2 linked regions of the Xenopus tropicalis genome follow. The protein of the gene in region 1 interacts with the protein of each later gene in a pairwise test. Links are inferred from orthologs where the notes say so. Each region holds a gene or a part of one and is shown on either strand. Other genes may lie near its edges.

The links.
Region 2: the proteins of uncharacterized protein LOC100170420 (region 1) and fst interact in binary tests that used the Homo sapiens proteins (3 or more experiments, as listed by UniProt). The link is inferred for Xenopus tropicalis from reciprocal best matches to the Homo sapiens genes TXN and FST.

What each region holds. Positions count from the first base shown.
Region 1 is NC_030677.2:116,007,111-116,022,974, reverse strand, and holds the start of uncharacterized protein LOC100170420, read right to left. Parts: upstream 10,220-15,864; 5' UTR 10,182-10,219; coding exon 10,158-10,181; intron 2,215-10,157; coding exon 2,110-2,214; intron 1,425-2,109; coding exon 1,365-1,424; intron 1-1,364. UniProt on the Homo sapiens protein: Participates in various redox reactions through the reversible oxidation of its active center dithiol to a disulfide and catalyzes dithiol-disulfide exchange reactions.
Region 2 is NC_030677.2:192,423,942-192,439,826, forward strand, and holds fst (follistatin), read right to left. Parts: upstream 6,979-15,885; 5' UTR 6,889-6,978; coding exon 6,804-6,888; intron 5,806-6,803; coding exon 5,614-5,805; intron 4,819-5,613; coding exon 4,600-4,818; intron 4,250-4,599; coding exon 4,025-4,249; intron 2,524-4,024; coding exon 2,282-2,523; 3' UTR 1,882-2,281; coding exon of another isoform or gene 1,880-1,881; 3' UTR 1,654-1,879; coding exon of another isoform or gene 1,557-1,653; 3' UTR 543-1,556; downstream 1-542. UniProt on the Homo sapiens protein: Multifunctional regulatory protein whose primary function is to antagonize members of the transforming growth factor beta (TGF-beta) superfamily including activin, myostatin, GDF11 or bone morphogenetic proteins (BMPs).

The sequences.
Region 1 (15,864 bases):
ACAGTCTGAGCTAAACTTCTATTGCCCCCTTGCCACCTCTAACAATGCAGAGGGCTGAAATCCTGACAACAATAGGCAGATGCCAATGAAATCATTGGTGGTACATTAGCCTCTCTCTTTTACTCTCATTGTTAACTAAGGAACACAGGAAGAGCAGCAGAGAAGTAAATGTTTATGGGCCACTGAGGTATTGACTGACCCTGTTTTTATCTTGTGAAACACAGGTTCTGATCCTGAAAATAAAACTGAAATTCTTGCCATAATGCAAAATAGGATTCTCTTTGCCAGCAAAGAAATGAGCAGGTAAGAATCAGGACAGTATCTATTAAAGAAACAGTGTATCACTTGGTTGCTTAAAAGGGCAAAGTGAGCTACAGTTACAATATGAGCATTACTAAATTTGACTGCTAAATAACAAGCAATGCTGCCTATTCTAATAAGGATACAAAAGAGCACAGATCAACTTCAGACAAGGGAAAGTTAAAGAGAACAGGTCTCAGATATAGGAGGTGATCACATATACAACAACATTTCCCAAGTAATTTAAAACTAATTTTGAATGAGGCAGTTTGTGGGCTGGCAGAGAAAGGCCTGAAACGATCTATGCCAAACCCAATTTATTTTGATAGAAGCCACCTGATGCAGCTGTTAGAGGCGTTTATCTGTGTGTCATGCCGTTTCCATTTTTATGTAAACAGGAAGCACAACAGGTGGTTTCAAGAGTTTTTGTACCGGTAGTTTGCTGCTTTGCCAAATCTTGTGCATATATACTCTTAAAAGAGTAGACATCACAGATTTTGGCATGAGATTACCATTAAAGGGGTCCATTTGTAATTAGATTTTAATTGCCATAAAGACAATGGCATGTTAGGAGACTTTGTCTGGGTATTTTACTTTTTTCTTTACCTCTCCAATTTGAAATTTAAACTTACCTGGTGGCTAGGGCCCCGCTTCCCTAGCAACCAAGCATAAGTCTGAAGGACAGACAATAAGAATATGAAAAACACTGCACAAGAAAGAAATATAATTGAGAAAGAAATCTAGTTTTACAACAAATATGGGTTTGTATGCCTGCCCAAGACCCTATAGTGTTTACATTTCTAGCTAGAATGAAGCAGAACCGATAGGCAAACACCAACAAAAGCAAACTGTCCCAGAATTATACTAAGAGAAACTTTCCATTTCTAGAATTTGCTTTTGTCTGAATTCTGTAATGCAACTTCCTGTGTAACTCAGAAGAAGCTTAAATGGCTAAAAAATACCGAAAAGTAAATTGTATGAGTTCAGCATACTTGCACAAGAATTATAGGCAATTTAATATGTTTTATTAAATCAGAATAACATAAAAACAAAACATAACACACCTGTGCGTCATCAACATCCACTTTTATGAAAACAACATCCGGATTTTCTACACTTAGTTTCTGGGAAAAGAGAACAGAATAAGTATTTTGGACATTTAAACACTATTTAACAAACACTACTGCTTCCTTATCTAGATAAAATTACAAATACCTGAAAAATTCATTTAGTTGAAAGTTGAAATCAAATAAATATGCAGACTATAAATTAAACTGTCAATATGAAATCTTGCCCAACAAAACTAGGCACATAGATCTAAATTACAATTTAAAGGGTAGGGTAATAAGCAAGGGGGTGCCAATATGTTAAGCATTCCCTGGCGTATTGAATTATAAAACTTTACTCCAAACCAGAGCTTCGGTTTGGAAAAAATTGCACCAGTCCTAGAATCTTTTATCTAATGCTGCCATTTTTTCAGCATTTTCCAAGGCTTTCTTGGCTTGGGCATGAACACAAACCAAGAGTCTAAGTGAAAACTTACAGGTGTGTTACCATTATGGTAGAATTTTTTTAAAAAATGGGCTGTCGGTTATTCAGTGCATTGAGGCACAATCTACAACACCATACGACCAAAATTAATATTTTATTACATGTAAACTCAATGTACAAAACAAAAAAAAGATAATTTTCCATTACTTAAAGAAGTTCACTTAAGTCTAAACTTTCCCACAGGATAACGTGTGTGCAAACTCCAAGCACACAATACTGGATAAATGCAATGGCTATGCAGAAGCTTTCATAACCTACCTCAAAGACAGGGGAAATCATTTTGCAGGGACCACACCATGTTGCTGTGAAATCAACGACTACAAGTTTATCCCCAGCTTCTTTAAGTATATTTTGGAACTCATCCTAAAAATGAAAAAGTAAATTATGACTACAATGATTTTAAAGTTGATTCTGCCAGGAAATATGCTTCCCCTGCAAGGACAAAAAGTTACTATAAAATATCTCACCCCCAACAACATACAAAACCATTCAATTGTTTCAACACTCAAATGCATCCCCTTAATTTGTAGGACCCATGCCCAACCAATTGTCTTGTCTTCCCACTCCGAACGCTATTTTTGTGCACACCACTGGTTACAAGACAGAAACTTTAATGGAGTAAACATCCCCACTCAGACCTGCACTCATCCCAAAACTGATAAAGCCACATATAAGAGTATATAAGCGCTGAATGCAGGTGGAATGCCAGAGCAGTGGAGAGGCAAACGTTTTTAGTTTATATGTTTTAGTTTTTAGTTTTAAATATTTCTTTTAAATCACTGCCCTAATGATAAGGGTGATTTTAAAAGGTCTCCTTTAAATATGGGATATGTGTAATACATATATTTTTTTAAATGTCAATAAGTAATGGGGTATCTGTGTGTAAATATTTAACAAAGTTTATAGAGCACATTTACAAACGCAGTCCAATGTACAAAGAAAAAAACAAAAACAAAAAAATTATATATATATATATATATATATATATATATATATATAGTGTGTTCCTTTACGGTTCAAAATAGGAATACAAATATATGTCCATTATGATAAACTGTGCACAAATTGCAACACACATTCCGCGGAAGCGATGGCATCCCTTCCAATAATATTAGCATCTGACTTACTTGGCTAAAGGAGGTGTTAACCTTTAAGGGCTCTGGCACACAGGGAGATTAGTCGCCCGCAACAAATCTCCCTGTTCGCTGGGCGACTAATCTCCCCGAACTACCATCCCACCGGCGAAAATGTAAGTCGCCGGTGGGATGGCACACGCGGCGGTGCGATTTCGGCAAATTGCCGAAAGTGCCCCGCGAGGCAACTTCGGCGATTTGCCGAAATCACCTGCGCAGCGTGTGCCATCCCACCGGCAATTCGGGGGGATTAGTCGCCCGCGAACAGGGAGATTTGTCGCGGGCGACTAATCTCCCCGTGTGCCAGAGCCCTAAATGAACTTTTAATATGATGTAGACTGTGATATTCTGAGAATTTACAATTAAAGTCTTTTTTTGTTCAGTTATCTGGTTGCTAGGGTTCATATTAACCTTGCAAACAGGCAGTGAATTGAATAAGAGACTAGAAAATGAATAGGAAAGGGCCTGAATATAAAGATAATAAAATGAGACATACAGAGTGAAAAAAAAAAAGTGCCAGTGCATTTTACTCCTCTAAATATAGGGCTTTACTAAAAAATAGTAGTATTTCAGGTTGATTTATAAAAAAAAATAATTCTCCCCGTCCCGTCCATCTGTTCCACTCCCTGCTACCTCCTTTTCCTAGTAGCAGATGGGGTGTAGGCAGAACTCTGCACATTGCACTGAAGGATAGGAACCAGCAGCTAGGCTGACCTGATACCCACTTGCAGGCTTAATGGTACTTACAAGGTAAAGCCAGCTGGCCATACAATGCAGACATTTTGACAGTCAGTTTAGCCAATGCTGTACAGGTATGGGACCGGTTATCCAGAATGTTCGGGACCTGGGGTTTTCCCATTTAAGGGTCTTTCCATAATTTGGACCTCCATAACACAAGCCTGCTAAATATCATTCAAATATTGAATAAACCCAATAGGATTGTTTTGCCTCCAATAAGGATTAATTATATCTTAGTTGGGATCAAGTACAAGGTACAGTTTTATTATTACAGAGAAAAAGGAAATAATTTTTAAAAATTAAAATTATTTGCTTATAATGAAGTCTATGGGAGATGGTCTTTCTGTAATTCAGAACTTTCTGGATAACTGGTTTCCGGATAAGGGATCCCATACCTGTACTATACTACCTGACCATCTGGACACAAGTTCGCTGGCAGGAGGACGTTTCAATAGATAGATGACTGAACATTTTTGAAAGTATCATCTTCACCATGTCAGCAGGTGCACAGTACATCAGTAAATTAGGAGGTAAAGTGCTGCCGCAGCTCCTACATTTGTTGCAGCAAAAAATCAGTCAGAAGGTACAGAACTGTAAGAAACTTTATGGCCTTTATATAGAATGCTATACATTCTTCTAAGTTCCCAGCCCTTGGAATGCAGGTGAAAGGTAACAAGAAGAGATCGCTATGCCACCATCCAGTAAGTACACCAAGGCAAGGATCTAAATGGCAGTATACAGGAAATCAATATCAGGTTTCATACTAAAAAAAACTATGACTAGAAAAAATCTCAAATTACACTGGCAGAGAGCACAAGGCTGTGTTTAATATTTAATAAAGCAGGCAACAAACATGGAAGACCTAAAAGATCTGTAATAATTAATCCAGACACTTGCCCAACTGTATCGATTCATTACATGCTTTCATGTTCAGCAGTTCCATGCAAATTTAATTCACCCCCAGCCAGTGTACCTTGCTGTCCTGTGTGGATAGAATCCTCCCCTCCAGACAGGTAAAAAAACACAACCAGCATTTCACTGTTGGTGCAGTTCTGTTCAGGAATTGCTTAGTATTACTGCGCAGAACTACGAATGACAGAACTGTTCTTTGCACTCAGGCAACTCAGAAAATATGTTATGACAAGAACAAGTTTTTGCCATTGTATATCTAAAAATAGGACTGAATTTTGTAAAGTATCTTTTTATGCTACTAAATCTTTTAGTACATGTATAGAATCTATTATCCAGAACGTTTGGATTTCCGGATCAGAACTTTATCCTTAATTTGGATCACTATACTTTAAGGGGAGGAATAAAATAAAAGTCGCAAACGGAAAAAAACTGCTCATAAATAAAAATAATTTGCATTTTGCGATGTTATATATTTCATTTTTGATTGCATTGTGAATTTTAATTGCAAAATTGCAAATGTTTAAGATGGCGTAACTAAGACATAACACATTATATTACATATACTGCACACTGGCGTAAGCTAAAACAATTCACAATCTCTATCCTCTGTTGCATGTGCGGCAAAGGGTAATCAAAAGAAATATTGTATTTGTGCAAAGGCAAAATTGTTTGTAATAGGAATATTTGTTTGTGAACATTTATGCCATTAGCAACCTATATTACATTCCCCAATAAGTCTAAAAATCATTTAAACAGTAGATAAACCCAGGGAGTCGGAGGCAATTTTGGGTACCTGGAGTCGGAAAAAAATGAACCGACTCCGACTAAATTTAAATGGGAATAAAAAAATTAACAAAGCAAGTTTAAATGTCCGAATTCACAAACAGTCATAATAAATTACTTCTCTGCTATAAGAATAAAGCCCAATGCACGCCGTGCATAAACGAACCCGTTGAGTGACCATGAAGCATGCTTTTCATTGACTGTTTGCTTCACTAAATGGGACGTAACGCACAGTTAAGGTGCAGCAGCTCCACTGCGTCGTGTTCCTCTGTTACAGGGAACAAAATGCCCACTGTGAACCTAGCCTAACTCTCACTGATAACTAATTAAGTAAAGAAAATTTGCAGGACTAGAAATACTTGTATACGTGCTTTAATTGGGCAATACAGTCGAGTGTTGGCATCCTAGCCAGTAGGTTCTGTGGTTAAATGACATGTATGTCTCCTTCCTTTCCTTCAATGAATGTATAAAATACATTAGCATATTAAAAACAGAGGAGTCGGAAGTATCAGAAACTGAGGAGTCGGAGAATTTATCTACCGACTCCACAGCCCTGGATAAAGCCAACCCAATAGGATTTTTTTTCTTCTTCTACCAATATGGATTCCTGTAGCTTTGTCACGATCAAGTACAAGATACTGTTATTATTACAGAGAAAAAAATAAATTGTTTGAAAAATTAGAATTATCTGCAAAATGCACTTTCATTAATATAAAGCTTTCTGGATAACAGGTGTGTATGAATTTCCAAAAATAAATGGTGGATGCACCAGCCGCTCATTCTGAATGAGGTTTTGCAATATGACCACACACATGAATGGGCAAGCTTGCTGATCTAGCTGTTCATCACAGGGGAGCTCACAGTCTAAGGTGCCTATCGTATTTACACACACTCGGGTTAATTTCATTAGATGCTAATTAACCTGACTGTATGTATTTGGAGTGTGGGAGGAAACTGGAGTACCCAGAGGAAACCCAAGAAGGCACCTACAATTGACACTGCCTACTACATGCGGCAGTATATTGAATAAACTAGCTGTGCTGCTAGCAATTTATTTTATTGGTCTGAATTTTACTTGGATAATCCACTAATGGAATCAAATGGAAAGGTTTTTTTGTTTTGTTTACTCTTACAATCAAACTGATATTTTCAGCTTTTTTCACATGTCTTGCATATTTAGGATAAAAAAAAAAACTTTAATTTTGTAGGCAATTATAAATAATATATGGTGCTGGTTTCACTTTGATCTAAAAATGAATACTATCTGTAAAAATGGCCCCTTTACAGGAGCTCCCTATAGATCCTCTCAGGTACCTGTCCATGTTTCAAATGAGGGGTGGGCGTGTCCTAAGCACAATAGGAAGGGGATAGCCATTCTTCACAGCCCCGCTGTCACACAAGCAGAGACAGGCATCAGTAATGGATAAGGTCAGATTACCGGGCGACTGGCTCAGTGCCACTCCCCCCTCAGTGTTTGGGAAAAGAAAACAGAAGAAAGTGGACCAGGTGGGAAGGACCAGTGGTGGGGAAAAAATGAGCCATAACATTACTTTTAAAAGCACACTCCTTCTATAATTTAGATGAGCACAATTCATTGGCATAAATATTGTTTTCGCACAATATGTCCTCTTTAATATGTTTCTGATGGAGAAAAAAAACAGCTTGGAACGAGAACCACAACTGGTCAAAAAAGTGCAAAAAAACAGGTGCTTTATAAGAAGTACTGCTGTATAATAAGCTAAACAAAGCACCTGAGTATTTAAAGACTGCTGCTAAATTTTTAGAATAAGACTATGATCTGTGCTAGGAACAAGTAAGTATGACTGAGAAAATATAAAGTGGTCTTATTAGTCAAATGTATCTGAAGGAGGCATTCCTCACACAATATCTTACACACTGCTGCCATCAGATGAAGCTTCTGCATCTGGGATCTAGTGATGCTAACAGAGACAACGCCCTTGGTGCTTGACAAACACCTTGTAAGAAAATACCCATGAGGGAAAATAAATGAAAGTGATTATTACTTTGACTGTTTAATAAACATGCAAACAATGTTAGTAAATTTATGAATGGATGTGTCCAGGAAACCCGACACAAAGCAGGGGCTACCAATTGCCCCTCTGGTAACCCGAATGGAAATCATCTGGTTCTGCACAGTGCTCTCATGGACCAGATGATGATCATTCAGAAATATTCACTGCTGTATTTCTGAGTGATTATCCATTTAAAAGAACAGAGTGCAATTCACTTAAATGGATTTGCTTAAATGCCAATTTGGAGTGTTTCTCTAATGGAGAATCACCCTGTACGAGTGCCCTAAAAGTACAAAAGCACTCAGTACCCAAAGAGAAAGCTAGGGAGAAATAAACAATTACACAAATATTTATTTAAAATAAATAGCTATATATATATATATATATATATATATATAGCTATCTCATCTGGCAAAAGCACCCTCATCACAAAACCCATGATAAATATATGAAGCCTATGTAGTGTAATAATTACAATCAAACTTGTACCTTTACTGGAGCTTCCCATAAATCTTCCCCAGTTACAAATCAGCGATGACTGTACAGCTGCCCAGTAAGTCAAAACTGCCCATGCCAATATATCCACTAGATACCCAATCCCCTCCCATTTATTAGCAAACCACACCCTTTCATGGCAGCTCTCTGACAACTACATCAAACTGCAGTGGCGGTGCGCAAGATAAAGGCTGGCTGGCATCCTTTAAGGCAAAGGGCTGCCATTGCTCAACAGCCTGGGAAAGTGCCCAAGAGATGCTGAAAGGCTTGGCAGCATAAACAATTCTTAAATCAGTTTTTATTAAAACAGTGCACAAAAGTTTTAAATGAGTTTTTCTTCTATTTTTGGTGTATAATACCACGGCAAATACTTATTACTTTTTCACTATATGTCATCTTTAATAGACAGTTGCCCATTAAAGCTAAATTTTAGTATGTTATAGAATTACCTATTCTAAGCAAATTTTCAATCGTCTTCATTATTTATTTGTTATAGTTTTTTTTTTTTTTATTATTATTATTTGCAACCTTCTTCCAGCTCTTTGCAGTTTTCAAATGGGGGTCACTGACCCCAGCAGCCAAAAAAACCCCGATTGCTCTGTGAGGTGACAGTTTTATCGTTACTCTTTGTAACTTTCTTTTCTATTCAGGCCCTCTCCTATTCATACTTCAGTCACTTATCCACACCACTCCCTGGTTGCTAAGGTAACTTGGACCCTAGCAACCAAATAACTGCTGAAAATTCAAACTGGAAAGCTCCTGAACTGAAATATCTAAAAAAAACTACAAAAAAAAAATAGAAGAAGACCAATCGTAAATTGTTTCAGAATATTACTCTCTATATCATACTAAAAGTTAACCCAAAGGTGAACAAGCGCTTTAAGCGAGTCTTCTGGTTTCCAATAACCATGAATGAGGCTCAGGAATGTTAGCATTATTTGAGAAGCAAATCTGTCAAGCAGTTCAACTTAACTGTGGAAAATGATCCCAACAAATTAACATCTATGAAAATTCTATGGAAAAACTGAAGTGTGTTCTTAAAATCATTCTTTCTTGCATCCATTCTTATCTTAATAGAGGTGAAATTCTAATCCAACTAGTTCACCCAACCTGAGCCAGTCACATCTGAAAGTACCCTTTTTATCTCCATGAGGCCTAAACCAGAAAATATTAAACAGGATGAATTTTGAGCAACATAACCTACTCAGTTTCAATTATACAACATTTTCTTTTATTTCTTTTAGTAGGGTATGTTGAGAATGCATGGGAGTATGCAATTTTTAAGTCTTCTTCTAGATAGTGTGCTACTCGGTAGCAATTAAACCAAATGCAGGTTAAAAGTGAACCCTTGAAGATTTAGATATTGGATTACAAACTGGCCTAACAGTGTTGATGTTGATTCTGCTTGAATCAACATCAAAATGCAATCTCATCCTGTCCTGGGTCAGCTGATTAACCTCTTACATACTGACTGGCATTATCACCCAAGCTGTATTTCTTGTTAGGAAGGTCAGCGCTGGTGTACTCATTCAAAACACTTGTTCTGAGGACCCTGATCTGGAGCAGTGTTAATATTAGTCTTTTAGAAAGAAGTCAAATTAATGTGTGTCGGAAAGCCTTAACTAGTTAACAGAAAATGCTGCAATAGTGCAAAGTTTGCCCCAGGTAGAATACCCATAGCAACCAGTCAGCAGATAGCATGCATAGGTCTACTGCAGTTTGAATAATGAAAGGAAACATTTAATAGCTTGGGGAGGGTCAGAAGCCCTAAAGCAAACTTTGAACCTACTTTTGCTTTGGTTAGTATGTTCTTTGTATTTAGCCACCCAAAGTGCAAAAAAAACCATTTTGAAATGGGTAATATACGTAGACTACTAGTTACCTAGCTATTTTACATTGGGTCAGTAATTAATTTAGGATGAGGGTTCCTTTAAGTGCTGTAGCAGCCACTCTTCCCCTACCTACCACAACTTTAATAATCCGAATATAAACGAATAGGAACATCTGAATGAATGTTATTTTTGGGTTAGTAGAATTCAAACGGAATGTGTTGCTCATGCTGTTTGCATTTGCCAGCCATGCTGAATAAGGATGCACTAGCTCCTCTGTCCCCGTTTCCCCTCATGCTAAAGGAAAATAAGAAGCCTGTACTTTCCAAGCATCTTTCTCAGTCAAGCAACTTACAACGTTCATGATACAATTAATTGCTTACCAAACTTTCAACGTGTCGAACCATTTTGGACAGTGGCGACGGCCGACTTCTTCAAACTCAGCGTGACACAGCAAAGCACTAACCTCAGGAGATAAGTCTAGCAATTACCGGGAGGGGAGGGGCCCGCGAATGGGCGGGGCTAGTGTATAGCGTATACAACAATATCTTTCTATTCTAGCAAAGTAAAAAAAGGCGCGGTCTAGAGCGCAATGGGCGGGTCACTAAGCTATCCGAGCCAATAAAGAGAGGCCAGCGTTGTAAAGGCGTGGTCAAAATCAGCGCCTTCACGTGAGGACTACGCACAACAAGGGAGTCTGGGCAATGGGTGCGGCTAGGGACCACTGGCCGCATTATGGCGTCAGGGGAAGATGGCGGTAGGATATTCCGAGAAGAGGGAGTGGACTGTAGGAAATGCGCCAAGTTCAGTAAGGCTAGAACAGCCTCGTGTGAACTGGGACAAGTGGGAGGAGGCGCGTATAACGGTTCCTAGCGAAGGGGCGAGGTTAATAGCAGAAAATTACTCGTGACTTGGTTCCCAAGGCGCCTTGTGTAGCTTAGTGCCCGCTTTTGTTGGCGGATTTAGAACGTGGCTGCTGCTGCTCGCCTCGGTGTTTTATAAGCAATAAATGAATTGGTACTATAAGATTATTCGGGTTTAGCTATGGTATGAAGTTAACTAACTGAGGTCAAAAGTAATAGCAACGTGAGTTAAAATGAAATACAGGAGTTATTTATTCCTAGAAAATGTCATGTGGAGAGTCAGAGTTCAGTGTGGGTCCATTCATGTCGGTAGTATAAATGTTGTTGCCAGTGGCTAATTTTTGGGTACATATATTTTTATTTTCTTGGGAACCTAAATAGAAATTAGCTGTATCTATATTTATAGGGGGTATCTATACACTTTCTTTTTATAACTGTCCCTGTTTAAAAGGAGCAGATAAAAGGTTATAGGGTTGCATTTTTTATATTTGCTGATGTTATTAATAGCCAAGAAACATAAAAGCAAGCAAGTAATGGTATAGGAACCCTTATCCAGAATGCTCAGGGCCCAGGGTATTCCGGATAAGGGGTCTTTCCTTAACTTGGATCTCCATACCTTAAGTCTAAAAAATCAATAAAATATTAATTAAACCCAATAGGGTTGTTTTGCATCCAGTAAGGATTATTTATATCTTAGTAGGGATCAAGCACAAGATACTGTTTTATTACTACAGAGAAAAAGGAAATGAGTTTCACAATTCTGAATTATTTGATTAAAATGGAATCTATGGGGGACAGGCTTAATGTAATTCAGAGAACAGATTTCCAGATAAGGGATCCTATACCTGTTCATGTGAAAAGGTTGCTACCTTACAGCAACGCATGACACAGAAGATGCAGTATCAAACAAACATGTTTACCTGCATTGGGCAAATTCACACCGAGGCAGTGACCAATAGCAACAAGCTGTTGATTACGTTTGTTATACCAAATGAAGGAAGAGCTGTGAAAATAAGAATTTGACTGTTTGCCTTGGGGGCAAAGTCGCCTAGCACTGGTAAATAAACCCAAATAAAGGTCGCTGCTACAGCAGATAGGTTGCAAGACACATTCAAATGTCAAAATCATAGTAGAGCAGCACAAGCATGCAAAAAGTTTTGGGGTTGCAAAATAACGTCTTTGATTGGTTATTGGTAGTCCCTCTGTATACTGGCAGCCTATTGGAGGCTGTATTTGGCACTACACTTTTATTTTGTTTGTTTTTGCAAGCCAGGAATATACAGTATAATAAGCCCAGTGGCCTAAAAGTATCTGCTTTTAGGTCATTTGTAGAACATCCAATGAGTCGGTGAGTCTTTGATTGGAGATCATTGCGTTAGATAGATAAAAGATTGCTATTGTGCAAAAAAAAAAAATTTTTTTTTTTTTTTTTATGATCTGCAAACAGTTTATGGTAAACTAGATTTTTCTATTGAATGCAAATAAGCGCAGTTTTGTGGTAGACCTCCCCTTTCATATTTATGTTGTTTTGTCTAGGTAAAAAGCTAACCTGGTTAGTGCGCATTAGCTTGGATAATGGTTTAAATATATAGCCAATGAATTTGGGAGCTAGCTTACTAACACAATCTTGTGACACTACTGTTTTCTATGATCCACTTGAATTTGGGTTGAAATATTATATAAACTATAGTATAATATATTTCTAATACATGTGGAGAGACTATTGTGTTTTATAATAACTGTCAGGTTATACATCTGGACATAAGATATAATTTTAATGTGATGTATTTCCTATCTAGTTATTCAGCAGTTGTTAGCATATCGTTTTTGTTTGCTGACTTAATTGCAGTTTTTCTTTTCATTGGTTTTTGTTCTTGGGCTTTGATCTAAGTTATACAGTTACTGATAGAATTCTACAGATCCCTCAGCAATTTCTTTCATTATTTTTAGTAAGGTATTGAATTTAGTTTTGAACTAAGCAATGTTTGATTTGTGTAGTCTTAAGGTGGCCATACACGCACCGATATTATCGTACGAAACCTCGTTTCGTACGATAATCGGTGCGTGTATGGCATGTCAGCGAGCCGACCGATATCGCAGGAAGCTGCTGATATCGGTCGACTCGCCGATCGGCCAGGTTAGAAAATTTTGATCGGGCGCCATAGAAGGCGCCTGACCAAAATTCTCCCTTCAGAGCTGAATCGGCAGAAGGAGGTAGAAATCCTATTGTTTCTACCTCCTTACCTGCCGATTCAGCCCTGAATGGTGTGTGGCGGATCTGACGATGTTTCGTGCGACCGACGGTCGTACGAAACATCGTGAGATCGCCACGTGTATGGCCAGCTTTAAACTTATGCTGTAACCCACTTTTGTTTTCATCCTTATATCTTTTAAGTAGCCATGCAATTTGTATTGCCTCTCTTTTTTTTTTTTTTTTAAGGTTCCTACCAGTGTTTTAAGCTGAGCTTCTATGGGGCAGTTATTTTGTGCAATACACCACATGGGAACACAGGTGTTTTTATCTGTGTTCATCATTAATGTGTGTTTCCATGGAAACAATCCCCATAGAGGAGACTTGGGTCATTTAACTCATATTGTTCCTTTGCAGACGAACACACAAATTTACACTGCACAGGTGAGCAGTTTCTGTAGTGTGTGTGTTAGAGAAAAAGGAAAGTCCTATATGTATGGTATGCGATTAGCCTCTATGCTGTAAAAATAAATTTAATGTGGGATTCCCCCCCCCCCCAAAAAAAAACGAATTAAAAATAGAAATTTGTTTATGTGGGACATCAGAAAATGGCCTATCCTGTTTCATGCCTATTGGAGCGCGTACTCATAGCCTCTGAGTAAGTTCCTCAGTAGACACATACTCATAGGCTATGAACTGGCCAACATAGTGCATTAGCTGTTGAATGTCTGAATCAGGCATTATGTACTATGAATATTGGTCTGGTAAGGTGGCAGACAACATACATGTACAAATAACATTATAAAGCTTTGTTTTGTACAATATTGACACATGTATGGACAGCTTTATGGTTCTGAAGGTCTTCTACAAAGTAATAGTTCGGAGGCCAGGGAGGATCTTGTTTATGTGAATTCTGTGTTGTAATAATATTGTAAAGTAATTGCTTACATTTTGGCCTGCTTGGTGGAAAATCTAGACAGGCCTCTTAACATTTGGAAGCCTCACAATGTCACCCCAAATGGTAATAAATCATTGTACTTTGCTGAACTGGTATTGTGTAATAATATTTAGAATTAGGATGACTCCTCATTAACTTGGCTAAGGATGTGTCTAGTCATCTCCATGGCAGCCAAGCCCCTCTAGACATGTTACATGGTTACATAGGTTTGAAAAAAGACCAGAGTTCCCATCAAGTTCAACCCTTCCAAGTGAACCCAGCACACACACAGATATATACTGATCTATATATACACTCACATACACAAACCATATTTACCAATATCAATACTAACTGTAGATTTTAGTATCGCAATAGCCTTGGATATTATGCTTGTTCAAGAACTCATCCAAGCCCCTCTTAAAGGACAAGGCAACTCAAAATATAATTTTTTGCCTAATAAAAGAAACCAAAATTTTAAGCAGCTTTGCAAAATACATTTATTACAAGTTTCTAATGGTTTTTGAATTATTTGTATTTATAATTGCTATTAGAAGCAGTGCTTGCCTGTCCTTTTCTATTCTCTGCCCTGGTGGTTCAGACTGTTGAAACATTGTAACACAAGGCAGCAGACTGACAGACCTGTATTGGTGGAGAAGCAAGACCTTTGCAACATTGTTTAAAATGTAACAACCAGGAGTTCAGCAAATGCTGCTTTCAATAGCAATTACATTTACAAATAACGTTTAAAGCACTATAAATTTTTAATTATTTCATATTGGAAAGTTTCTTAGAATTATGTTTTCTTTCATTATGCAAAACATTATTTTTGGTGTTGACATGCCCTTTAACCCTTTAAGTGCCAGCCGAATTCGTCATTTCGGTTCCCCCCAGTGCCAGACGTTTTTTAAGCATTTTGTACTCATTCACTTTAACAATGTTTTTTGGTAGGAAAACCTCCACGAAACTAGGGAAATTATATATCGTTTTTTTCGTCACTAATTGGGCTTCGACATACATACCAAATTTTATAACTTTTCTGGAGATATGATGTGTATTTTGGGTGAAATATGTAAAAAAAAAATAAAATTATGAAAAATTTCTGTATATTTTGAGGTTTTTTTCCATAGAAAAGTTAATTTTACTCACTTTTTTTTATTGTTTGTAAAAGCCCTGATACTCCCAATTCCAACGATACCAAATATGTGGTGGTACCCCACAGTTCCTGTCCAGAAGTAACCCCCAAACTAAAGCAATACTTAGTACAATATCACACCAGAACAAAGCAGAAAAGCGCTTGTAACAGTTAATGCAGCATAACTTATATGTAAATCTAAAATATCCCCTCATGTTTGGTATCTTTAGAAACTACAGACCTTCAGGTTTCTAGGTGCAATGTAGTTTTCACTCAAAAGCCAAATACCTTTTGTCAGTGCATTGTGAAATTTGGAACTTTTTATGACTTTTTTTTTTTTTTCTAAAACGTAAACTTGGACGCATGATCAAATGTGGATTTGACAAAAAAAAATCTCATAAAAATTTTCTAACAAAGGCATATTTGAAAGACAAACTTCTCCTGAATAAAATGATGCCCCATATGTATGGGTGCACATAAAGACATGGGCACCAAACACTCCAAAGCAGGGGCAATGCACAAGGGCAATTACAGCTAAAAATGTGGGGGCTGCGCTCTATGTGCACTTCCTGCAGTTTTTCAGTGTTAACCCCCACTACCTGTGAAATAACCCCCACAAACTATATATTTATGAAAAGTGCACACCTTCAGCTATTCAGAGACACCACTCTTCTCTTTCTACATGGAAAATTGTGGCCGCAGTCCCTTGCAGAAGTAAGCGCTTTTGTCAGAAATCAAGGAAAAACCAGATAAAAAACCTAGATTTCTCCCCAAAATCTCCATGGCAACTACCAAAAACTTACTAAACATCGATCTGCAAGTTCCCCTGAATAAAACGATACCCCATATGTATGGGTGCACATAAAGACGTGGCCACCAAATGCCCCAAAACAGGGGCAATGCATAAGGGCAATTTCTGTTGAAATTTTGGGGGCTGCGCTCTATGTGCACTACCTGCAGTTTT
Region 2 (15,885 bases), about 76 Mb from region 1:
CAAAAAAACGCATACACACAAAAAAGGGGTCAGTGCATAAAAGCTATAATTCTAAATATCTAAAATTCACTGGGGAGATACAAGCAACAAGGCTGATATCTTGCAATAAGAAATCGTCTTTGAAATGGTATTTCTTTAAAGCTTTGATTTGCTTAATGCTTATTCATTGAGTTTCGCTCTTAATTTTTGGAGAGTAATTAGATATAGTTGTGATGTTTGTGTTTCTCACTTCTGAAGAGCTGCTTGTTGTGATAACTAGATAAGGCTGGGAAAAACGAAGAGTGCCAGACAGGGAGCATGAGGGATGGGGGTTCGCGTCTCCTGAGAGATGCTGGAAGGAAATAGCAAATGGACTTGATCTGTATACTAAGCAAACATTGGGCAGTTTCGGTATAAAGTGCCAGGGCATATACTGTACTTTCATCCTATGAACTCAACGTGTTATTTGCCATTAATCAGTAGAACATGAGTGCCTTCATTAAGCATCCTTCTGTTTGTTCGGCAGCACCTCGTTACAAAACACATCAGAGAAAGGCATAAAGCAAATTTCATTTATTTTATTGTTCACCCATAATTTATTTACAAATACACATTATAACTTTTATATACATTACACATTTACATGGTAAAAAAGTACAAAACTATATATTTAAATGAATTTATATTTAACTTGCCATGTTTGAAAATATAAAATTGAAATCAGAAAAAAAAAATGTATTATGAAAACGCAAGAAACTTGAACTGATAAAACGTCGAAATACACAAATAAGTCTGAATTGGCATGATGGAAATGATTGGTATTTGTATCTAATAGGTGGGAAGGATCAACACGTTTGGAACCAAAGAATCTTTGGGATTTAACCATCCAGTATGTTAGAATAATGGAAACTAGGACATTTCCTGAAACACAGCCACTTCAACCTTTTTTTTTTTTTTAAATATATATCTATATATATATTTCTATATATATAGATATATATATATATTTGTATTTTTTTCATCTTTTTTGTTTTCACGTTATGCTGCAGCCTCTTTTGGTCAGTCAAGATTCCTTGTAAACAAAACCCGAAGGATGTATGTACAGAACTAAAGGAGAGAATCCAATAAATAAACATTTAGAAACTGACATGCAGGGTTCATGGAAAGAAAAGCGCCGAACCCCATTCGCGCTATCGTGATGCGCTATGCGCCACGGACGCTCTTGGCACAGCGCATTCCTCCGTTACTCAAGGGGTTCGCTGAGCAGAGTGGACAGTACCGTCAATCACCTCTAAGGAATGGACTTACAAGAAAAGCTGGACTTTACAAGCGAAGATATTTCACAATAAATAACACTGCTCTTCCTTTGACGAATATATTTCTTCAAAACAAGGTGTACAGTCAAAACAGACATTTTATGTATAAATTATAAAACATGACAGTATAAATAAATGTCTACCAGACTCAACTATATGTATACTTTGTTTTTTTCTTTCCCAAAATAAATAAGCATACACCTATTTACAGTATGGACATGTGTTCTTGCCCAGAGGCTGTTCCAACAGTTTTGGGAGCTGTTACCATGAAGATATGACAAAACTGTAGTCCTGTTCCTCTTCCTCCTCTTCCTCCTCTGTATCTTCAACAATGGCTATATGGGGGAATATAGGGGAGCTGTTGTTTAAAAAAGGACAACAACAGCGCAGAAGCTCAGTGCATGTTTCTCAAAGCCCTCTGACCAGCCATAATACAGCGTTGCATTGTATGTGACTCGCAGGGGATGCTGTTTGGCATCACCTGATAAATAATACTTTTTTTTTTTGTTTGTTTTTACATAATCTATGAAGTCTTAACAGCGGAAAGTTCTGAAGAACCAATGGATCAGGCTGTTATTGCAGATTCCTGTAATCAGACAAAAAGCGCTCGTGTTCTAGGTGTACTGCTTGTGTCCTCAGAGTTAGTAGAGGCCTCTGTCCGGGGACAGAACCCAAAGCTACTACTGGTACTTGGATGGAGTTAGGTCACTCAAAGCGTTAATGAAGCAATCAGCGAAGCACATAGAAGCAAATTAGAAAAATAGAGGGAAAGATATTCTCAGGCAACCCCCTTGTAAATAGCCTTGGCTTTTCCTGCAAAAGTGCCGAAATCTTGCAGGCAGCTTAAGTCATGTCACTGGAAGGGTGTACATATACCGCCAAATAATGCTCACATTCCCTTAGAAACAACAAAAAAGTATTTTGCTTTAAAGAGTCTTCATTACTGAGGGGTTGCCTTTAGAAATCTTACTCTGTGTTGCAGTGATTCACTTACAGTTGCAAGATCCACTGTGTTTGACTTCCAAAAGAACCCCCGTGGAGCAGGCTGCCTGTTTCATTGCGCACTCGCTGGGGTAGGTAGTGTTATCGCTGGCGCACACTGTATCGTCTGACTTGCTCTCTGCTCCGCACACATCATCGCACAGCGCACAGCGACCTCTACCCACTCTACTGTCCCACAGGCATTTCTTTCCAGCGCTGCACTGAATATCTTCGCAAGACTTGGCCTCTGAAAGGGAGAAGAGCCAGGGCTTTTAACAAATAAACTTATCAGTCAGTGATCTCTCTTTAGTCTCACTGGGGCATGACAAAGCAAGAAATACAAATGCCAAAACAGCAACTAAAATCGTAAAACGCACAGACTTATAACATTTGGCAAGGGAGTTATATCTGGAAAGGAAACTCGCAATCCCTGGTTGTTCCCTGTAATTACTTAGATTTCATTTAGCTCTTGTACTAACACACACCGCAGATTAATGTATACATGGGTAATAGTGAATTAGCCCCTAGGAACAGGTGAATGTAGAAATGACTAGCATACATCACATCTACTAGCCTTTTAAGTAACACCAGGGATGAGTGTGTAAAGATCATATACAACTGGTTTATTGGTGAGTCGCCGTCATATTTTCAGATACAACAGGGATGAGAATATATAGTCTTCATGATAACAGATAAACCATGACCATGTTACATACAGAATAGGCAAGGGTAAAATAGCCTTCATAATAATAATAACCTACACCAATGGCAGGGAGCAAATCCTTACTAGAATGACAGATTTACCATAGTTAAGGATGCAATCAGATTTACTCAAACAGATTGGTAGGGCGCTAATATCTAGCATACTGACGAAAGCAAAATAGTAATGGCGCAGATATCCGAAGGAACATCTGATGATTGACAGTATCTGCCGTACCAAAGTATGCACCATAGGTGAGCAAATAACCTTCTACTGACACCCACCACCTGGGAGGGCGCATATAGCGTCAGAACACCACCTGACAGCTCACATATTTACAATATGAATATATACACCACAGACAATGTTACCATTAGCATATACAGGGTGCAGGTATCTGCCATACCCACACATGGACCACCAGCTAGAGTGAAAATGGGCTCCATAAAACACAGAGCAGATAAAAAGGTGCCAACAGCCACTATACTGCATTTATCTGCATTTTTATCTCCAGCAGATACAACCCAGATGCCAATAATGTTATACATCTCCAATGGACAGGAGAGAAACATGGATATTTTATATTGTTCGTCTTAAATGTACTGCAGGAGTGGCAGGCAAGGAAAACAGAAATCTAGAGACCACAGTAAAATCAGCCAGGTATGGATCAAAATCATTTCCTCTTGCAAAATAAAAAAAATGCCATAATTAAATGAATGTAAAACAGGTAAAACGGTTCTGCTGGGACCAAAGGCAGTGTCGCTGCGTGCTCTGCAGGCACAAGGCAGGTGTCGCTGCGATCCTCTCTCATTCCTTAGCTAGTGTGGGATGTAAGGCCAATGAGGGAGTGAAAGTGCACACACACACCAGGAACACTCCGGGAAACTTGCCATGTACCAGGCTCCAAATTGGCAGAAATCCTCTTGCACCAACCCTAATCACATGTTGCTTCTCTTGCCCCATACTGAGTGTCTTCTCCTCAAGGCACTTGGGAAAGAATGCTACTCAGAATGGATTTGTCGCTGGGTAAATCAGACACCACACTTACTTATGCATTTCCCCTCGTAGGCTAATCCAATGGATCTGCCCAGCAGGCAGGTAGCCTTCCTCAGGTGGCAGGCACTGGCATAGGTTATTCCATCATTCCCACACAGATATTGGTCAGGGGAGACAGGCTCCGGGCAAATCCGATTACATGTCACACAGTAGGCGTTATTGGTCTGATCCACCACACAAGTGGAGCTCCCTGGGCACAGCACGTCCCTGCAAGTTTCTGAAAGAGAAAGAAGCGCAAGGGCGCACATCGATCAGTATAAAGGCGCAATGAATGACAGATGGACTTACAGCACTACTGGGGCACAGCTAAGCGTAAGGTCATAATAAATTGCTCTTATTTACTCCATATACTATGTACTTTATGGGACCCGTATTATATCACATAAAGTTTTGCAACTCCCAAGCCAATGCGCACCAAAAAAGCTTCTCAGGCTACTAAAAGCCACCCAATGAGAGCTTTCTTTTCCATGCTGCCCACCCATGAGGTTCAGGTAACATCACAGCAATCTAATGTGGCTGTCCCTCCCAGCCCACAGATCCCTAACTCCCCCCACTTGTTTAACCTACTTTTGCATTTTCCTTGGTACTGCACATCCAGCTCCGGGACCCCTTTACATTTGGCTTTGAGCAAAGCGCACTCATCCTTATAGGTTTTGCCATCTATTCCGCACACGGAACCTTTCCAAGTAATGTTGGAACAATCCGGAGCGCAGACACACCTCGGCTTGTTCTTCTTGTTCATTTTACATTTCTTCCCAGGGCCACAGTCTACGTTCTCACATGTTTCTGTAAGTGCAACAGGTTTAATTAGCCAGTGGGCAAAGTACTCAAGAAATAGTATTACTAGGAATGTGATAAATAGCCCCATATCTCAGCAGCATGTCTAGACTTTCAGGGACTAATGTGCCTGTGCCATTACATAAAGATCATCTGGGGTGTTATGGTATCTAATATAGATGATAAATAGATAGATGATAGATAGATATGCCAGATTCATACAAGCTCCTGACACTGGGAACTTACTAGTACAAGAAAAGTATTTCCCCTCTGTGCCTAATAGCTAAAACAGCATGCAGTATCTATGGAGAGAGAACAAAAGTTCCTCCAGAAAGCGAACTCAAAATTGAGTGCAGATGTCCCCTTCACTTTAATAAATCCCTCCGTGAAAAATAACACATAATAAGCAAGTGTAGGTGGCCAGAATCTGCTAGCACAGTATCCTAAAGTCTGAGCTGGGTGAGATTATTCTTGCACACACACATACACACATACACACATATGGACTGTGTGGCTGCGTCCCCCTATACAAAAATAATGCCAAAAGCAGTTCAAAATATGTCAAGTATGCGGGTATATAAATACATATGGCAGCTTCATGGTTTCATGGAAGCACAGGTCGCATCAAGCATACACAGGGATGGTTAAATCATGTATTCCTACAACGTGTCAGTAGAGACTGTATGTTAAAGTACTAAAAAAAAAAAAAACTTCTCTCGACTTCTTTGCTTACAGAGATGTAGGAATTTAACCCTTTCATTTTCAAAACGAGGAGATGGTAGTAAAAATTGTCAAGTAAAGTACCTTTGCAGGGGACGCAGTGAGGGGCCCCTCCATGAAATATCATCCATTTGAAGAGGGTGCTGTTGGGTACATCCTCTTCAGTCCATGAGGTACCCAGCCTGCCAGTCTTGCAGCATTCCTCCTTGCTCAGCTCAGTCCTGTAGAGAACCTGACATCGGCCGTTCTTCGACTGCTGCAGCCAGCAATTCCCAGCTGTAAGAGACAGCGGCCCAGCCATATCAGTGTCACTTAGCAGTGACCCAGACACAACACGTGTGCTCTGCGCTCACTTCCACTAGACTGTTTACTTTTATTCGGCCTCTTTCATAACCTGCACTAGTAACAGCAGTCTCTCCCCAGCCAAACCGCTCACACTTGCACGGTTAACCCCTTCAGGGCTTCCACTCTATAGATATCCACCCAGGCTACACAAAGGGTTAATTGGCCGCGCTGTTGAACAGCCTCCCATCCAGATGTTGAGATAACGAGCCCATAAAACCCCTGCTTTATTGAAATATTACAGTATCAAGTGCGTCAGTTGTCAAGCCTGCGATCCAACCTCATGTTGCAATCCAGGCACATTCAGAACATCTACATGCAACACTAATCCATTTCGAAACGTGTTTTCTCCCCAATCCCACGCTATGTTACCCCTTTTTTAAAGTTAAGAGAAAGGATAAGCTGAACAGCAATAGTTCTAAACAACTCACTACAACTAGTTCCATTTGGAATTGCGCCAACTAACACTGCAAGTAGGCAGCAATTAGCACAAGGCAGATTGCGTCAGTTGGAAGAAATTCTGCGCACCGCTGGGTCCGACTGCGCCTCTGCTACGTATAGTAGGGGGCTGGCAGCCAATGACTTGCCACCACAACTTCTGTCCCACCAGCTGGAGTACAACTAGAGTAGTACGAAACAAATACCGACATCCTCGCAAGTCCCTAATAAGTCACTAGATTCGTTACATAACTGTAACCACTGATAGTAAAGTAGCACTCTCTGCCGATACATTTATATACACATTAATAAATCTGGAAGCCAAGTTGACTGTAGCCCTTAAAATCCAGAACTACCATCTTGATATTGCAGATATGTAAAAGTGAAGTCTGATCTAAGTCACCAGCCTAACTTGCCTCTCCTACTGTCTGCCCTAATACCAAAAAAAATGAAAGAAAATCCAAAAAGAGTGATCAAGTCCTTCAGGTTCTTACCTTGGACTGCGCGATGTTCCATGAAATGGCACAGAGAGACAGTCAGGAGGAAAATCATGCCCGGCTGGATCCTTTCATTTAACATCCTCAGTGCAGAGAGTGGAGAAGCAGCAGAGTCTCAAGTGGAGAGATGGGATAATGGACCAGGCACAACTCCGGACTCTGCTTATGATCGCTCTATTGAATGAACAGCAGCCTCTAATGCAGTCTCTCTTTAAATCTATAAGGGGGTCTTAGCTGTCTGCGGTGGGCGGTCTCCTAATGTGTGTGTGTGTTTGGGGGTGGGGTAAAAAGAAAAATTCAGAGTGAATCAGGTGACATTTTCCACCTTCTGGAAACCTTTTCCAATGAACAGTGGGTAGGTAGATCCTAGAGAGAATGTAGCAAGGAGTGTTTGCTGAGTCCCAAGCAGAGAGAGAGTGAAACTTGTCCAGCAGCTGGTGGGGAAATGGAGCAGCAGTGTGGCTACTTGTGCAGCAGCAGAGGCAGCAGCAGGGAGTGGGGCATGTGAGTGGGAAGCGCTGCTATAGGAGTGGGGCATGTGAGTGGGAAGCGCTGCTATAGGAGTGGGGCATGTGAGTGGGAAGCGCTGCTATAGGAGTGGGGCATGTGAGTGGGAAGCGCTGCTATAGGAGTGGGGCATGTGAGTGGGAAGCGCTGCTATAGGAGTGGGGCATGTGAGTGGGAAGCGCTGCTATAGGAGTGGGGCATGTGAGTGGGAAGCGCTGCTATAGGTGCTGCTGGGTGCGCACAGGACAATGACGTGACCTCTCCCAGACTCAGCCTTGTTGGGCAGGACCTACCCACTCTGGCTCCCCCTGGGCACCTTCTGAGCAAAGACCGGGCAACATCGGGGCGCACTGTCTAAAGAGGGGGGGTTAGGACTTGCCCCCCACCCACCTCCCACTCAAACTCTTAAAGTGCCTTTTAAAATATAACTCCCAGAACCTGAAACAGTAGTTAAGTGTCTGCTCCCACATCCAGCTCTCTGGGAGTCTTCAGGGACAAATACAAGTTTAATACCTAAATTTGCCCCCCCCCAAGTGACAGTCTTTTCAAGTGGCAGTGTCTGGAGTATCAGACAGGAATGGGACGACGTAGGCGGTCTCCTTTCATAGCCCCAGAGATTGCCCCATCGATAATGAACTTCTATAGGGCCAGTTTATTAAGCGCAGTCTGGCATCCTCCGCTGCAAGTTGGCGGCCACTCATTTCTAACATTTTTGGCACAGCTGAATGAAACTGAGTAGGCGATATTTCCTTTTATACAGAACCATTACTTCACGGAAAATGGTATTGTTGATTCAAAAGCTGCCTCTTTTCTCTCTCTCCCTCTCTCTGTCCCTCTACATTTTCTATTCTTTTTGCCTCCAGAGCCCAGAGGACAACAGACAGAGAACTATGCAGACTGCATTCCTGGATACTGGCAGGTCGCTTGGATTTGTATTGCCACAGACTTTGACTGCAAATAACTCGGCGATAACAGATTTTTTTCCAGCAACTGCAGGAGATAGTACTAATCTTTTAATAAAAGATCCCATTACAATGGGATCTGTCTGGGAGGACTATAATAGATCCAGAAATACAGGCGTGCTAATATTAGCAGACAGTTGTTTGGGCCCCTCAGGCCGGCCCAGGCTGCTCATTAGGCTGCTCTGTGGGGCGAGTACAAAGGGGCTGGGGCACCACCTGCAGGCACACATTAAAGCGCACTGGTAAATGATTGACCCTGCAACATCCCCCTATTGTCGCCCTTTCTACATCTGGGGCATTTTGCTCACTTCACAAAGCCTTTTTCCCCCTTCCCTTTAACTTTCTCCACCCCTACTATTTCCAGGATAAATACAAGGTTGTTTAGTGCCCTCTAATGGCAGACGACATCTTTAATTAATAGCACAGCATCCTTATGGTGAGAGCCAAATGAGGCAATTCCTAACTTAATTCATAGTTCCTTTTGCTCCTACGTCCTCATTTCAAAATCATTCTGTTTGTTTCTGGTTTGTGTAATCTCCATTAATCCGGGGCTGGAGAATCCAAACAGTGAGAGAGAAGAGCCGGTGAGTCAGTGCGTTGGGCAATGATCAGGGCTAGGGAGCTGGGCGGCTGGGGCTTTATCGCCCATTTGCGGTTAGGAAGGAACAGGGGTCACAGCTCTGGAACGTTTCACACACTGCCTTCCTGTTCTCCTTCCATTCACAAGTAACGGGCTAAGCCTGTGCTGACTTATGGCCAAAAAGCGCTGCCCTTTCACCCATGTTCCTCAAATCTGTCTCCTATGAAATGAGAATTTGTGGCGTGTGCTCGGCCCCAGCGGACAGTAGCCCGGTGGCACATCATAAAACTCGCACACACACATCATTAAGGGGTCGGCAGACGGCATTGCCTCTCAGCCCATGGGAGAGGGGCCTCTGCGGGTCAGGGTTGAGGTCATTGGCAGGGCAGTGCGGGGAGAGGAATGGCTTCTTATCACTATCCCTTTGGTATAAATCCTGCTAGGGCTGGCTAACTGCGGGCTGGCTAACTAACAACTGCGGGCTGGCTAACTAACTGCCGGCTGGCTAACTGCGGGCTGGCTAACTTACTGCGGGCTGGCTAACTAACTGTGGGCTAGCTAACTAACTGCTGGCTATCTGCGGGCTGCTAACTTACTGCGGGCTGGCTAACTAACTGTGGGCTAGCTAACTACCTGCGGGCTGGCTAGCTAACGGTGGGCTGGCTAACTAACTGTAGGCTGGCTAACTAACTGCGGGCAGGCTAACTAACTGCGGGCTGACTAACTGTGGGCTAGCTAACTAACTCCGGACTGGCTAACTAACTGTGGGCTGGCTAACTAACTGTGAACTGCGGGCTAACTAACTGCGGGCTGGCTAACTAACTGTGGGCTGGCTAACTAACTGTGGGCTGGCTAACTAACTCCAGACTGGCTAACTAATTGCGGGCTGGCTAACTAACTGTGGGTGGGCTAACTAACTGTGGGCAGGCTAACTAACTGTGGGCAGGCTAACTAACTGCGGGCTGGCTAACTAACTGTGGGTGGGCTAACTAACTGCGGGCTGGCTAACTAACTGCGGGCTGGCTAACTAACTGTGGGCGGGCTAACTAACTGTGGGCAGGCTAACTAACTGCGGGCTGGCTAACTAACTGTGGGCAGGCTAACTAAATGGGGGCTGGCTAACTAACTGCGGGCTGGCTAACTAACTGCGGGCTGGCTAACTAACTGCGGGCTGGCTAAATGCGGACTGGCTAACTAAATGCGGGCTGGCTAACTAACTGCGGGCTGGCTAACTAACTGCGGGCTGGCTAACTAACTGCGGGCTGGCTAACTAACTGCGGGCTGGCTAACTAACTGCGGGCTGGCTAGCTGCTTATCCTGGGACCTCTCTCCCTATAAAAGCCTAGGTGCCTGTGTGGGGTTTGTAAGGGGGGAATGCGCCTTGGTGCTGCTGAGAGGTTCCCTATGTGTGGGCAGGTTGCTAGGGGCCAGAGTACTAGTAACATGTTGCTAACAGCACTAGTGCCACTAACATTCCAGCCGCCGCCGCAAGGTCAGTGCAATAACACGGGTGTCTGGCCCCGCCGCACCTGCTCTGTAACATCGCAAAGCAAATGTGTTCATCTGCAGCGATTAGTCACATCAGTCGCAAGGCTAAACCTGGCTTGTCATCGCAAAGCAACGTGACTTCATTCATCTCTTCTCATTCACTATCAGGGGATCCTGCCTCCTCCTCCTCCTCCACCCCGGAATGTGTGTACAGAGCAAAGGAACACAGGGCAGACACCTTTATTTGCTTCCCATCATTGACACAATCGCTGTTTGCCTGTTCCAAAAGCGCTGCTCCCGTGTGGCTACAATGGTTTGTCTGATCCAGGTACAGCCATCTGAATTCTATTGGCTAAGGGAGCCAAACCTAAAGGGGATGTAAACCCAAACAGAACATTCAGCCTAATGAAAGAACTTGTAATTCTAAACAACTTTCCAATACACATCCAGACATCAAATGATTTTAAAATGGGTAGTTCACCTTTAAGTTAACTTTTGGTATTTTATAGAATGGTCAGGTTTCAGTTGTTTTAATAGTTTTTAAATTATTTGCTTCTCTCTTTTGACTCTTTCCAACTTTCCAAAAGGGGTCACTGACCCCCTCAGCCAAAATACTGTTGCTCTTTGAGGCTACACTTTCATTATTGTTACTTTTTGTATTACTCATCTTTCTATTCAGACCCACTCCTATTCATTTTCCAGTTTCTCATTCAAACCACTGATTGGTTGCTAGGGTCATTTGGAACCTAGAAACCATATAGCCGCTAAATTCAAGACTGGAGAGTTGCTGAATATAAAGCTAAATCATTCAAAAACCACAAATAACATACAAAAAGTTAATACAAAGGTGAAAAACCATTTTAAATGAAGTATTACTAACTGTAGACACTGATATTAGGAGACTATTTGCAATTGGTCTTCTTTTTATTACTTGTGGTTTTTCAGTTATTTGTTCAGCAGTTCTACAGTTTGGCATTTCAGCAGTTATCTGGTTTCCAGGGTCTTATTTACCCTAGCAACCAAGCAGTGGTTTGAGTGAAAGACTGGAATCTGAATAGGAGACTGATTAAGCAGGAAGATAAGCAATAAACATGAATAACAATAAAACTGAAGCCTCACAGAGAAATAGTAATTTGGCTGGGGGGGGGGGCAGTGACTCCTATTTAAAAGCTTTTTCATACGGAAGAAAAAGGCAAACGAAAACAATAGGAAATAATGAATATTAAATGAAAAGTTTCTGGTAATAGGACATTCTATAGCTAAAAGTTAATGTAAAGGTGAACCACCCCTTATCTGTAAATGTAACTAAAAGCAGTGTTTATCTGCCCCTGTCTGCACTCCTTGTTCCGACTGTTACAACAATGTTGCATAATTTAGCTTCTGTGCAGACAAGACTGGTCAACTGCCTTCTGTTACCCTGTTTCACAAGTCAGAACCGCCAGTGCTGAGAATAGCTAGGCACAGACAGATACTATTTACAATGGCATTTGCCACTACACATAGCTTTAAAATCACTGAACATTTTTAATGAATGAATATTTGGAAGTTGTTTAGAAGGACTTTCTCTATTATTACGCATTAAGTATTGAAGCCTGAGCAGAAACCACAGAAATCATATTTAGTTGTTGATATCCCACCATGTGCTTTGGGAATATATTTCCCTGTCTCAGCTCCTCCACTGATCTATGTGGCTATTTATTAATTATACTAAATACCAATATTGTGTATATGGATGAGGAGCCATCCGCCACCCTGTTTACCTTCTAAAATGCAAGCCCTGACAGCCATAATGTTTCCTCTTCCAATATAAGAAAAACTTTCAGCTAATTTTACACTTACACTCTAACCTTGAAAGTCCTCCAAAGGGCTGACCTAGATACAGTGGAAAGATAATAACAAGCAACTCCAAGGCACCTAAACTAAATATAGCCTCCATTTACATACGATTCATCAATGACATTTCACTGACAGTAAAGTGAATGCTGCCTCTTAGTCTGTCCCTTGTCTGCACTGAAGCTGCTCTACTCCCATCATGCTCTACTCCCATCCTGCTCTACTCCCATCATGCTCTACTCCCATCCTGCTCTACTCCCATCATGCTCTACTCCCATCCTGCTCTACTCCCATCCTGCTCTACTCCCATCCTGCTCTACTCCCATCATACTCTACTCCCATCATGCTCTACTCCCATCATGCTCTACTCACAGATTGCAGCACCTAATATTTTGTTTCCAATTCATTATCAGGGGTGTGTAGCACCCTCTTACTTTGCTTTTTACAAACATTTCTAAATAAATAATATTTCTTAAAAAAAAATTGTCATTTCTTAAATTGTGTTGTTCAGGAAGATGGTCATACACTAAAGGATCCTCTTATTTGTTCAGGCTGCCATTTTCAGGCTGATATTTTCTCGATATGCCCACCCTGAAGTGAATAATATCAGATTGGTTTGAGTGTTCATCCCTCAGGCCAAACCAGGGTCAGACTGAGTTGGCCAGGCACTGGGAAAAAACCCGGTGGGCCCTAGTGGGCCGTGCTGGCCCAGACCTGATCCCCGTGGTGCTCCCCCTCCTGAAGATCTGCCTCCCCCATCATGCTTAAGATAAGACTAAAGCAGTTGCGCTCGGGAGAGGGAGTTGGGTGGCAGCGCAGGCCCCTTAGGGGGCGTGGGGGCCAGATGACAGGGCCCCTTAGGGGGGGGGGTTTGGGGTAGGGATGCACCGAATCCAGGTTTTCGGGTTCGGCCGAACCCCCGAATCCACTGTCAGGGATTTGGCTGAATACCAAACCGAATCTGAAGGGATGAAAATTTCCACTTCTGTGTTAACATGACAAAAAGTCATGTGAGTTTTTGGATTTGGTTTGGCCAGGACTATGGATTTGGCCGAATCCGAATCCAGCTGAAGAAAGCCGAATCGTGGGCGAATACCAAACCAAATCCTGGATTCAGTGCATGACTTGTGTGGGGGCCAAGGCGGTAGCCCCTTGGGGGGGGTGTGGGGCCACTGCGATGGTTGTCCCTGCAACCCCCAGTCAGACCCAGATGCTCGACATCTGGATGATTTTTGGTCAGATATCAGTCTGACAGACTCATCTGTCACTGGGCCCCATACACAGGCCGATAAGATGCCGACTCAGTACATCCCAGCTTTTATTGGCCCGTGTTTGGCCCCTTTTATTAAAGCGGACATTGCAATCCATTAGAAATGTGACACATTAAGAGGCATTTACTTTCCCAGGTACAGTAGGCAAAGTCCAATTTTCCGATGCAAATCACCATGTTTTTTTCTTACCCGCAGTGCAGCATTTTTACCCAGACTTCCAGAATAATAGTGGCCATGTGGGATTGCCAGGTTTGGGCAGCCTATGGGCTGCACCAATTGCAATTTAATTTAAATGGAATATATTTATTAGAGGTGCCCCTGAATTTGTTATTGATCTGGTAATTAATTAAATTTTTACTTTCCCATAATCTAGTTACCACAACCCAAAAATGAATATATATTATATATATATATATTACTAATTCCTCCCATTATTCTACGTTCATATGGACCTGCAATAGAGTTATTTGTTGTGATTCACAAGACGGAGTGGGATGTGCTATCTGCCAGATGTGTCAAACTGCTACATGTTAGAGTATGAAAGCAAAGTTCTGATTGGTTGCTATAGATAATTGCCCTTGTTAGTAGTACCCTTGTTAGTAAATAAATCCCCTTATTCACAAATAATAATATCTGTATCTCTATACGCAGCTAATTCTATACATAGTAATAATGGTGAGCTAGTTATCAAATATCATTACAATTCCATGTAGACTGTATGCTTTTTGGGGCAGTGTCCTCCTGTGTGTCTTACCACATGGTACTTAATCTCTGCATAGTAATACTTGTGTGTGTGTAATTTTCAAATTGTAAAGCGCTGCATATCCAAGTAGCACTTTATAAATAAACGTGTACATACACAAATACATAAAATATATAGGGGGTTATGTAATAATCCATAGAAACCAATCAGCAGGTAGCATTTACTGGTCACCTTTTTAAGCAAACACCTTATTGGTTGCTGTGGGTTACTGCACCTGGGCAAACTTAGTGCCTTTTATTACATATGGGGGTTAGAGTTACATAGTAATAAGTGTCATATGTTATTAGATAATTGATAGTGAGAGGTCTCTGTTTACAGAGCGTATAGTGGTTGGGCAACCCACAGACAGAAATGGAAGGATAGTGAGAGCAGCTGGGGGGAATCACCCATAAAGGCCAAGGTTACATCAGGTGATTTGCTAGCAGTCTAAGATTAAGGATTTAGTTTTAGGGCAGTGGTGCATCTTCGTTACCACGGGCGACTAATCTCCCCGCAATGCCATCCCACTGGCAACAATGTAAATGGCTGGTGGGATGGCATACGCGTCGCTACAATTTCCCGAAGTCGCCCAACGTTGCCTTGAGAGGAAACTTCAGGCTACTTTGGGAAATCGTAGCAACGCGTATGCCATCCCACCGGCCATTTACATTGTTGCCGGTGGGATGGCATTGCGGGGAGATTAGTCACCGGTGGTAATGAAGGTTTGTTGCGGGCAACTAATCTCCTGTGTGACACTGCCCTTAAGGGTGAAGACACATGGAGCTTTAGAAGCAGCTACTTGTAGTGGCTACTAAAATAGACAATGCTGATCATTTACTGATAATTGTCTCTACATGTGTTTTAGTTGAGCCGATTCTCAGTATTGTTTATGGCAGCGTATTATCTGGGGTTTAGTAGCTGTGAAAATGTACAAAGCCTGGAGGCGCCCCGAGACAAAGGTGAAATGGAAAAGAAGTTTGATAACATAGGAGACTGAGAAAAACTAAGGGAAGGTAAGAGTACCAGAATCAGGGCTGGATCTAGGGGTAGGCACCTTCAAAGGGTGCAGAACAAAACAAAATAAATCTGTGTACGGAGCCAATCCTTATTCAGAATTCATGTGGTGCTGTTTGGGACTTCTGCTACTCACAGAAGGATAGATACATAGATATATGACACTCACTTGGCTAAGCAATGTATAGTTTATTTGAGATCCCAGCAAATGTTTCAGGTTTGCCCTCTTGTTCAAGTGCTTTTGTTTCTCCAACCACTTTTTGTTCCTCCAGAAAACATTTCTTTATGATCTCTTAACATTACTATTAATTAGGGCTGGAACTAGGGGTAGGCAGGCTAGGCAACTTCCTAGGGTTGCTATTGGGGGGCATACAGTTTAGTGAGTAAATTTTGAAGCCAACCAAGTAGAAGTAAGCAAAAAGGCAAAGATCAAGTGACATAATGGGGGATTAAGAGGGAGGATCTGGCAGCTCTGGTGGCATTGGCAATGGGTGGGGTTGCTGGGGAAGAGAGCACTGGATGGCAGTTGTAACAGGGGAGGTGTTATGGGTATTATATGTTGGGAAGGCAGGTCAAGTAGCATTACCTTGGGTGAGTATACTATGTGGTCTGGCTCTGCTATCAATTTTTACATCTTCCATTAGAAATAGCCAAGTTGTTTCAGCTGCCAATCTCTACTAAA